Linked DNA regions of Drosophila melanogaster. The protein of the gene in region 2 purifies or fractionates together with the protein of the main gene of each other region. This does not show direct contact. Each region holds a gene or a part of one and is shown on either strand. Other genes may lie near its edges.

Region 1 (7,962 bases), on a different chromosome or scaffold from region 2:
TAATTTATGACTTTTTTCAGGATCTCAAACCATAACTAAAATAATATAATCTTTATAGGAAAACTACATATAAGTATATAAAATAAAAACAAATTGCTGTTTAATGCCCTTTTTTTCGAGTGTACATAGGTGAAGGGTTGGCAAACATCGGTGACACCAAAAGTGAACCCGTAGAAAGTTGCTTGGGGTCAGGCGTGTGCGGTTCTGGTGTTTGATTTCTTACTGCCAGTAAATAAGATACTTGAAAGTGGCTTTTAACAAATTTAAATGTGTAAATGAACGCGTTCCAATCAATGAAATGGTAGGCGTACTACAGGTGCTAATTAAGTGCAATATATTTTGTGAATTGAAGTACAATAAACTCATCTTATGAGGTAAATATTTGTTAAATTATTGCAATTTGGAGTAATTATCGAGGGGAAACAGTAAACTGTTTAGAAAGGTTAACGACCGATAGATTTACATACATATATCAGATATATTGTAATATAAATATGTATATATGTACTTAGCACAACATTTTCGATTGCAACCAATCTGATAGCATTACCTATAGGACTAAGCCCAGCTGCTCTTGCTCAAACTTGTGGATAGTATTATGTAACAACAACTGTTTTATAACAAAAGATGCGTTTGCTCAGCTGGGCTTATTCTCTTTAATTCGAAATATCGGTCGATCGAGGAGCGGCGACACTTACAAGCAAACAACAAAAGCCTTTGTATGTCCAGCGATTAGTCATCGCGAGTAACTGATCGATAACACTACTGGCCACTGTGCATAACTACACTGGGGAAAGTGTGCTCTTAAACTATTCGATTTTTATTATCTGCAAAGCTTATTTTTTTTAAGATATTTTGGCAGTCTTGAGGACTTTTTCTGAACACAAGATCCTTTAAAGTTTTACGTTAACCCCCTGGTTTTTATGTTCGAAGGAAGTTCTAAACGTTTATTGTCGCATTTCCTTGTCTTATCGCGCTTCGAACTTTTATTATCTTGGCTGGAATTAGATTTATGTTGTACAAGTTATAACCTAACCGAAATGACAATTGCCACATAATTCCCTCGCTGATATAATGGCTATTAAAAAACCAATTACGTTTAAATACCGTGTCCCTCTCTCAGGTACTTTTTACACTCATTTTCCCATTATCTCTCTATAAGTTCACCCGCCAAGTAGTATTGCATTTAAACGAAAACTTTTCGATGCGTAAGCAATTTGTTGAAAGCGATTTCGGACTTTTGAGAGTGTTGCGAATAGGGCTGCCACGTCACGCTAGAGACCGAAAATTGACAAGTGAATCAACTGAAATATGAACTAAAACTAAATTTAACTATCCAGGCAACGATTCATACAGCTTGCATAATTTCTTATAAGCTGAATCACTTGATCTACGTCACGTTTGTACATTCATGGTGTACAGTTTAACGATTTATTCACATGTAAAAAATGATAAACAAATAAGAGATTACGAAATAAATATTTTAAATTATGCTGCGATATGTTGCTGTTTGTATGTTATAATCACCCCGCATTTTATGGCGACTTGGCAACCCTGCTGTATTGTTGCACCTGGGAGAGAGCAAAAGAGAATGGCTAATATCATTGAAAGAAATAAAGTAAGGAGGGAACTGGATCTTGTCCCTTCCAGGAGAAAATTAAAATATATACCTAACAATGTTTCTTTATAGATGATTTCTGCACATTTACTGAACCTTTTACTTTGCCGTTTTTGAAACTAAGTAACTTTTTATCATAGTTTTTTTTTAGCGATACAGGATGACGCGTTTTCTAAAGGTGTTCGTCTGCCTCTCTTTGCACGGCTTCTCCCCTCTTTTACTCTCTCATTTACTGATAAGGCTCCGTTCGATTGGAGTGCTGTTTTTTGCCTCTGTTTTTTTGTGATAAAAGAAAAGGCATAAATAGTCCGTTCCACTGAACCACTCAATTAGTACTCAACAATAGCCCGTGGAAAGCGAATCAGCCAAAAAAGAAAGAAGAACGAAGAACGAGGAAGAAAGCAAGGAGTAGTTACAAGAAATATTTAATTAAAGCTCGCATCCTTGGCTCTCTCGCGCCGACTTTCTTTCGCTCTCTCCCGATCAATTGGAGATCTCTTCCGCTCGCGCACCACCCACTCTCTTTCTGACGCGTTTGTGCGTGTGTTGTGTACTTACTGTGTGCAAATCAATTAATTTTTTGTTGTTTGTTTGTTTTCGCAACGAAAACCAGAAGGAATATCGTAAATAATAAAATTAATTCCGCGTGCAAACATACATTGGAATAATGGCCGATATTCTCAACGTGGAGCAGCACCAAACGGTTCAGGAGTTCAAGCAGAATCTCGAGGAGCTCATTCCCAACGTAGGTGGCGCCACGGTCTCGACTACAGTGGATAACCGCTAAAGCAAACAACTATACCATACAAAAATATGCAATTAGGAACGCATATAAGGAAGATATCGCATTAAAGCATCTTTGAAAAATTGAATACGGATGTTAATTTTTAAATTCCTCACATACTTAAAAAAAACTTCGTTTTTAAATTGAGAGTCTTGAGTTGAACAGCCTTTAAAACGCTAATTTTGAATTTTTTATGACCCACAATTCACGTAATCACTCCCTCTCGATTTTGGTGTGTCTGTGTTTTTTTTTCGCCCTCTTTATTTTTCTGCCCTATCAACTTTTCTCGGAGCACTTTATAGCTTTTTAATCGATAACACCGACAGGTGCCACGCATACCAATACCCAATGCCAATAAGAGGGGCCTTTACAGTGAACACCTCCGATAAAGTGCACGCGCTTCAAACTGACCCACTACAGACCTCCCCCCGAAATTATGGCGAAAATCAGAATCACTTCCGTTCGATGTCAGTCAAATGTTGGCCAAAAGAATATCCCAGCTATCAGTCCGCTTGATAGTCTCTCTTTTGGCCAAGGACAACACCCTCGTTGGCTTAACGGTTTTCCCCCCGCGAAAACCCGTGAACCACCTATCATATCATTACCATACACGTAATCGTGTGCTGCTTTCGATTTTTTATGTTCATTTTTTGGCGCACAGAAATTTATCTTATCGACAAACAGCAAAAGCGGAGCAATCAACGCACCACTACTAAACCGAGTTACCAACCAGTGAGCCATAAATTCCACAGTCCAGTATATCAGCCGATCCAACTGCCCCTTTTCCCCTCAGATTTGTCCTATTTCGCACACCGAATATGGCGAAAATGTCGAACGTTTTATTATACCGTCCGGCTGAATACTTGGGTTTTCACCAATTTCGATATTTCGAATTGGGGGGTACCCATGGAAATCGCAACAATTTGGAGCAAAACTAACTAACTTCAAGCTTATTAAACTGTGGCATAGTTGAGGACTAAGCTACAATATGATTTTATGTGGAATATTAAACATATCAGCTGGGAATATTTTCAAAACATATTCCAAAATTATTATATTTTATTAAGAAAAAGTACTTATAATACATTATTACACGTTAAAATGTTATGTTTCCAAATAATTTAACCTTAATATTATTGAGTTAGGTTAGTTCTCAGTAAGTTTAAAAAGATAGTATACACTGCAACATAGATCAGCCACCGTTTTCAATGCTATTATAGTTTTAAACAAACGGGTTCGCATTTGTTAATTTAATTTTTCATTTTGTAACAACTTAAACCATAAACATAAATATTTCCCTTCGATGCCAACAATAAAAGCTTATCTAATCTAAATTATTTCAAGCATTTTGACCAAAAATCGCGTTTAAACCATTAAATATGACTAATAAATCTAAGTAAAGTGGTGAAACCCATATAATAATATATCGAATTGACTGGACTGTTTAATTATATAGCTCTTATATGTAAATCTGTTAAAGGAATCCCAGCTAGATTAAAATTAGTATTTAAAGTGGCCACCTCTTAGTCATTAAACTTTGCAAGAAATAATCAAGTCGGGTCCGAATCTCAAGTGTTTACAAACTGATTCATTCGTTCAGGCTTTCACTTCTTTAGTTCTTTTTTTTTTTTTTTTTTGTATATTTTCTCTTATTTTCTGTGGCGCCCACTCACGCTTTTGAACTGTATAAATTGAAGCGAACAATTTTCGATAATCAGCGATATGTCAGTCAGGTGGGAGATAAGACCCCTCGAACTGAAAACTGAAAAATGGAAATTAAATTCGATAAGGCTGGCACACAGACAATATAGCGATAAGGTTGCGGGAGATGGAATATAGCATTTTGCATTCCGAATTCCGCAGATAAAACAGGCACTGGAATGCGGCTGTGTGTTTGGCTTTCGGATTTGATTGATGACTCACAGATCGATCGTGGCAATAGGCGGCGGACAACTTACTCATGACCGGGGATTACTCATGGATCTTTCCTGTATTCAATTTGTATTGGTGTGCCCCTTAAGTCATTTTGAGTTCCGAGAAGGCCAGAAATTAAGTTTATGCCTCAGGAAAGGTCAATAATGTTTATGCCAATGTTAATGAAAACTGTCTAGATCTAATAGTTTTTGCAAATTGTTTTAAACCAATACTAATTAAAATCCCTCTCCTTCTTGTAGTTGGATGCCAACAAAGATGGCTTCATCGATCTGCACGAGCTAAAGGATGCCCTCAACCAGGTGGGCTTCAAGCTGGCCGGCTACCAGGTGCGCGAAATGATTGACGAGTACAAGGGCAAACAGCTGACTGCCTTCCAGGGCAAATTGAATCTGGAGGAGTTCGAGGCACTGTGCCTGGACCTGAAGAGCAAGGATGTGGCCAGCACATTCAAGACGGTCGTCTCCAAGAAGGAGAACTTGGAGACCCTGGGCGGCATGTCGAGCATTTCGTCGGAGGGCACCACCCATTCGGTGCGCCTCGAGGAGCAGCTGGCCTTCTCCGACTGGATTAACTCGAATCTGGGCCACGACAAGGATCTGCAACATCTGCTGCCCATCGATAGCGAGGGCAAGCGCTTGTATCTGAGCATCAAGGATGGTATTCTGCTGTGCAAAATTATCAACCACTCCTGCCCGGACACAATCGATGAGCGTGCGATCAACAAGAAGAACCTCACCGTCTACCGGGAGTTTGAGAACTTGACCCTGGCCTTGGTTTCCTCCCAGGCGATTGGATGCAACATCGTAAACATCGATGCCCACGATCTGGCCAAGGGCAAGCCACATCTGGTGCTGGGTCTTCTCTGGCAGATCATCCGCATCGGTCTGTTTAGCCACATCACCCTGGACAGCTGTCCGGGATTGGCTGGCCTACTCTTCGACAACGAACGTCTCGAGGATCTGATGAAGATGTCGCCGGAGGCCATCCTTTTGCGTTGGGTCAACCATCATTTGGAGCGAGCCGGCATCTCGAGGCGGTGCACCAACTTCCAGTCGGACATCGTCGATTCTGAGATCTATTCGCATTTGCTGAAGCAAATTGCCGGCAATGATGCTGATGTCAATCTGGATGCCCTGCGGGAATCCGATCTGCAGTCGCGCGCGGAGATCATGTTGCAGCAGGCCGCCAAGCTCAACTGCCGCAGCTTCCTCACGCCACAGGATGTCGTCAACGGAGTCTACAAACTCAATCTAGCCTTCGTGGCTAATCTGTTCAACAACCATCCAGGATTGGACAAGCCCGAGCAGATCGAGGGACTCGAGTCCATTGAGGAGACGCGCGAAGAGAAGAGTAAGTACTTAATATTTAGCCATACGTAAGATCGGTACAAAATACCGTTTTTATTTAATTGAAAATTAAACACAAGAAATCAAAGTTGATCAGGAAAAATCCAGGGTTTCTTATAAAAAAAATGTAGATATCAACTGCCACTTATATAGCATAATTAAAGCAATTATAAATATATATGTTTATCAATCGGCTTTGCACAAGAAGTGCAAGCCATAAAAACCGGGAATTTTTAGCTCGCAAGACCATTTATCACAAGAAGAATATAAGAATATAATACAATAATATATGTGTACTTATAAGAATACGATTACTTAGAATTATAATACTCAGGTGTTATATACATATTTGGAAAATATTTAACTTACACCAATCATTTCTATTTTTCTATCTAGCCTACCGCAATTGGATGAACTCAATGGGCGTGGCACCGCACGTGAACTGGCTTTACTCCGATTTGGCCGATGGTCTGGTCATTTTCCAGCTGTTCGACGTCATCAAGCCGGGTATTGTCAACTGGAGCCGTGTGCACAAGCGTTTCAGCCCGCTGCGCAAGTTCATGGAAAAGCTGGAGAACTGCAACTATGCGGTGGATCTGGGCAAGCAGCTCAAATTCTCGCTGGTCGGAATCGCAGGCCAGGATCTAAACGATGGCAATGCCACGCTGACGTTGGGTAAGCATTGCTATTCTAATTGTATTTTTGGATGTTACCAATTCTGAACTATCTTATGGTTACAGCTCTCATCTGGCAGCTTATGCGTGCCTACACCCTGTCCATTCTGTCCCGCTTGGCCAACACTGGCAACCCCATTATCGAGAAGGAGATCGTCCAGTGGGTGAATAACCGACTGTCGGAGGCAGGCAAACAGTCGCAGCTGCGTAACTTCAACGATCCGGCCATCGCCGATGGCAAGATCGTGATCGATCTGATCGATGCCATCAAGGAGGGCAGCATTAACTACGAGTTGGTGCGCACTAGCGGAACACAGGAGGTGAGTCCTGACTATGTCATGATATGTGGCAGACTAAACTAGCGCTTATTGATTCCGCAGGATAACCTGGCCAATGCCAAGTATGCCATCTCCATGGCCCGCAAGATCGGCGCCCGTGTCTACGCCCTGCCCGAGGACATCACCGAGGTGAAGCCGAAAATGGTGATGACCGTTTTCGCCTGCATGATGGCCCTCGACTACGTGCCCAACATGGACAGTGTGGACCAGAACAACCACAACAGCTCCGCCAACAACAGCAATTAGGCGCCATAGCCACAACTCATTTATACATAAACAAAAGGATGGGATTTTGAAAGGGAAGAACAGAGTGGGAACTACGTAAATTTGTCGTATTCGCTAATTACTAATAACTCTATTCGATTGCGTTCCTTCCTGCGCTACCAATACATTTTTGTGTTTTTTTTTTATTTCAATTACTTTTTGTAATTTTTTTATTATATATTTATATATTATATAATTGAGTATGAGTTTCCCCCTATTGTAATTAAGCAAACAGATTTTAGAGTGTCGCACATCTGTTTTCGAGCCCGGCGGGGTGTTTCTTAATTAGTTTTGTTTAACAATTGATTAATTATACAACTGTAACCTTATTTTATAAATAAAGGTTTAGCTTGTTCCGCTTAAAATCCTTAAAAGAAAAGAATGGTGAAACAAAAGAAAGAAAAAAAAAGCGACTTGTGCAGGATTAAGAAAGAATTATAATATTAACATTGCGACGAAAACAATTAACTCTGTAATATATATACATATATATTTATATACGATTACGATATGCGTCTATATACATAACATATAAATTTACATAAATCGATATATTTTTCCATAAACGCGTTGCCTAAAGAAAGATAACGAACGAAGATCAGGAATGGGGAATATTCAGAAACAAAAGAAGTCGAGAAAAACAGAGAAACTAATTTTATATTTACTATAAATTTTTTTGCGAGTAATTGTAAGACGCCTTTGTTTATGTGTTTTTTTTTCAACGTGCGTGTTTGTTCAATTTCTTTTTACATATTTGTATAATTTTGCGTTTAAGTGCGTTAGAGCGAGGTGGCAATAGGTATCGCCAACACGGCGTAGAAAGAGAGGGCAACAAACATTTTTAGTGCAATGAGGCGACATACAAATCCAAGAGAAAAAACGAATTAAGAAGAAGATGAAGTAATATTATATGCAGAATAAAAGTAAAACAATAAAGAAAATAAAAATACCAATATAAAAGCCGTTTCACTTAATAAGTCATAATTCTGTGAAGTTATCAACA
Region 2 (3,250 bases):
CACAATTGGTGAATATACTATACATTGAATTACGCTTGTGTGTCAATAGTTTAACGACCAAGCGACCCCATTAAAGTTATCCAACATTTGAGGCCAGTCGAATCGCACTGATAGGAACATGTTTGGCCTTACTTTACAAACTTCATATCTGGCCAATAATCATAATTCTGCAAGTGGTGTTCAATTATCGACATTAAATACAAGAGTATTAATTATAAGTTACTCTGATAACAGTGTTGTAACAACTGATTAAATTAGATTGCTTCAATAAACAAGAAGAGTTATTCACCTGATTGCATTTTACAATATATGTACATATAACACGCTTGACTTGTAAATTGCAAAATGAAAACAAATATGAATCATTGGGCAAATAATATAATATAAATAATATACCCTGCATAGAAGCAATATATACACACATATTCCATTGACTTAACTAGGTCATTTTTGATTAGTTAAGCTAATCAGTTTTATTCAAAATATTTAGGTATTGTAGAGAAAATATCATTTTATAGCATATATTCATTCATTTCTAACGAAGCATAAGCCCGGTCTTTCTTACTTCAAGCATATTTGAATGAAATACTCTTATATAAGTTTAAAACAAAATGCTAATTAACATGAATTTATGAACGCAAGGCATTATGTCACCAAGTTCAAGATCAGCCGAATTAAAACAGGCTTGTCGCCGAACGTCACTCTTTGAACAAACCCGTTTACTGGGTTTGTCGCAAACTTGTCTTCGTGAAGTGGAATTTACAACCCACTTAACATGAAGTGAAGTGAGTACATTCAGATAAAAGACCGAAGAATTGTTTATGTTTCACACAGAAACCCTATACAAGTAGATTTGTAAATAAAAGATATAAAGGCAGAGACTAAATGAGCTCATGGAGAGCCAAGAGAAACCACAAGAATTGCTCTATCGCACAGCAAGATGCAACAGTTGTCCCACCCCTCGAAGTCTGAATGCTCCTCCGTCTTTTCTCTTTCTCAGAAGAATTCATTGGGTTCGCATGAACTTGCGAATACGGCTCACTTAGAAGCGACGAAATTAGGTCATTAATAGTATTTTGCCAAGGATAAGGTCACCGCCATCATTGTTTTTTCTGGGCACTTGCGTGCAAATAGACCAATAAACAATGGGTACCGCAGTAAGGCGATGTTTTTGCGTGAGGGTGGAGCAGAATGGTGTCATCCTCTCCGGGGAACTGGAACTCACCTCCCCAAATGCCAATCTTCAGCTGGTTCCGGTCCAAGTTCTCGATGTAGTCGCCGAGCACCTTGTTCAGCACATCGGCCACCACCGCCTCGAAGACCATTGTGTCCTAGCAGATGCTCCTATTGATTTTCCTCCAAGTTTGTGGTTGTTATTCCAATTGATGTGGTCGTGGTGAGTGCTTCAAACAATCTGGCGTTCGCTGTGCGGTCTATAGTTGATCTAAAATACATGCATATGTAAACACAGAAACCAAACAGATGGAACGGAGAGACGGATTAAAACACAATGTCGATGATGTCATCGTTGAACGCATTTCAAATATTTTGGCACAATCCGCCAGGCCCATTGTTCCAAAATAAACTAACAAGCCAAACGATTGTCCAGGGTCAGCTGGAGTAGGGCTGGTGCGATTAACTCACTACTCCACTCCAGAGCACGTGTGCAACGCCCGTTCTTATCTCTATTTACTGCACCCAATTACCAGCGGCATTTCCACGCGACAAAAAAGTAGTAACTCCGTGCGATGCGCGTTCTTTAAATGCTCGCCCGAAACTAACAGCTGTTGTGTTTTCCGTTTGCGTTCTCCACCTGGGGACGCTCAATCAGCTGTTCGGTCGCGTTCCCGGGCGAATGGCAAACTGTTAGGTGACGTGTTTGACCGTGCGAATTGCTGAGCTATAGGAAAAATATTTATAAAACACCATGCAAACACGTCTTGTTTTGCTGCTGCTAGCTCTGACCCCGCTCGTCCTGGCCAAGAAGTTCAAGGAGGAGGAGAAACCGGCGTGGGCCAAAAAGGATATACGCGACTACAGCGAGGCGGACCTCGAGCGTCTGCTAGATCAATGGGAGGTAGGTAACAACACTGCGATTGGAAAGCGACACATCGGACCCAACTCTCCAGATTCGCACCTAGCAAGGGAGTAATGCCAACCCTTTAGATTCCCACCTATCTAAGGATTCATCATTTGTAGAGACGGATAACTGATACCCCTTCTTTTAATCTTCTCTTAGGAAGATGAAGAGCCCCTCGAGGATGATGAGCTGCCCGAGCACCTGCGCCCCCAGCCCAAGCTGGACCTGAGCAATCTGGACAGCAAGAGCCCCGAGGACCTGCTCAAGGTGTCCAAAAAGGGGCGCACGCTGATGACCTTCGTTTCGGTGACCGGTAATCCAACCCGGGAGGAGAGCGACACCATCACCAAGCTCTGGCAGACAAGCCTCTGGAACAACCACATCCAGGCGGAGCGCTACATGGTTGACGATAACCGCGCCATCTTCCTCTTCAAGGACGGCACACAAGCCTGGGACGCCAAGGACTTCCTCATCGAGCAGGAACGCTGCAAGGGCGTAACCATCGAGAACAAGGAGTACCCAGGTGTCAATGCGAAAAAGGACGAACTGTAGGCCGGTTCCACGGCATACCAGCACATCAAAACATTCTCACTATTTAAGATCAAAGTTCAATTAAAATAAAACAAATTTATTAAACAAACTTATTAAAGAAGCTACATATGTATTTTGCTTGGCCATTCACAGGGAAACGGCTCCGTTTGCGGGATGGAATAAATATGGATAAAAATATGAATATTTCAATAAACATATTTTGAATATAATATTTGTATCTCTATTAGATTGTTTATATACACTGCGTATGTGTCAAATCAAAAACAAAATAAATGAAAAATTTAAGCAAAACTCTAAATTAATCGCTGACCAACTACACAACTCACGGTGCCATCGGCAAAGTTATCGTATCGCCTTTCAAATGTTTCGAGCTCCAGCTCCCCTCTGTGTGACCTTAAGTCAACAAGACGCCACCCGCGAACCGCGACGTGCTCTACTTGCTCCGCCTGTTGAGTAGCTGTTCCACCAAGAAGATGCCCGTCCAAGCCAAGATCGGTCCCAGCATTCTCAATGCGGATCTCTCCAACCTAGCGGCGGAGTCACAGAAACTACTGGACAATGGAGCGGACTACCTGCATCTGGACGTGATGGACGGCACTTTTGTGCCGAATCTCACCT

Evidence for each region. The genes of interacting proteins can lie anywhere in the genome.
Region 1: the proteins of boca (region 2) and Fim purify together in Drosophila melanogaster (affinity purification with mass spectrometry, with the first as the bait; one large-scale study listed by BioGRID). This does not show direct contact.

The regions. Positions count from the first base shown.
Region 1 is NC_004354.4:17,285,652-17,293,613, reverse strand, and holds Fim (fimbrin), read left to right. Parts: upstream 1-1,944; 5' UTR 1,945-2,285; coding exon 2,286-2,363; intron 2,364-4,576; coding exon 4,577-5,687; intron 5,688-6,079; coding exon 6,080-6,358; intron 6,359-6,423; coding exon 6,424-6,677; intron 6,678-6,737; coding exon 6,738-6,941; 3' UTR 6,942-7,910; downstream 7,911-7,962.
Region 2 is NT_033778.4:7,565,340-7,568,589, reverse strand, and holds boca (boca), read left to right. Parts: upstream 1-1,851; 5' UTR 1,852-1,927; coding exon 1,928-2,077; intron 2,078-2,239; coding exon 2,240-2,632; 3' UTR 2,633-2,717; downstream 2,718-3,250. Other genes in the region: Vps13 (vacuolar protein sorting 13), read right to left, coding at 1,226-1,325; Rpe (Ribulose-5-phosphate-3-epimerase), read left to right, coding at 3,106-3,250. UniProt on the Drosophila melanogaster protein: Chaperone specifically assisting the folding of beta-propeller/EGF modules within the family of low-density lipoprotein receptors (LDLRs). Acts as a modulator of the Wg pathway, since some LDLRs are coreceptors for the canonical Wnt pathway.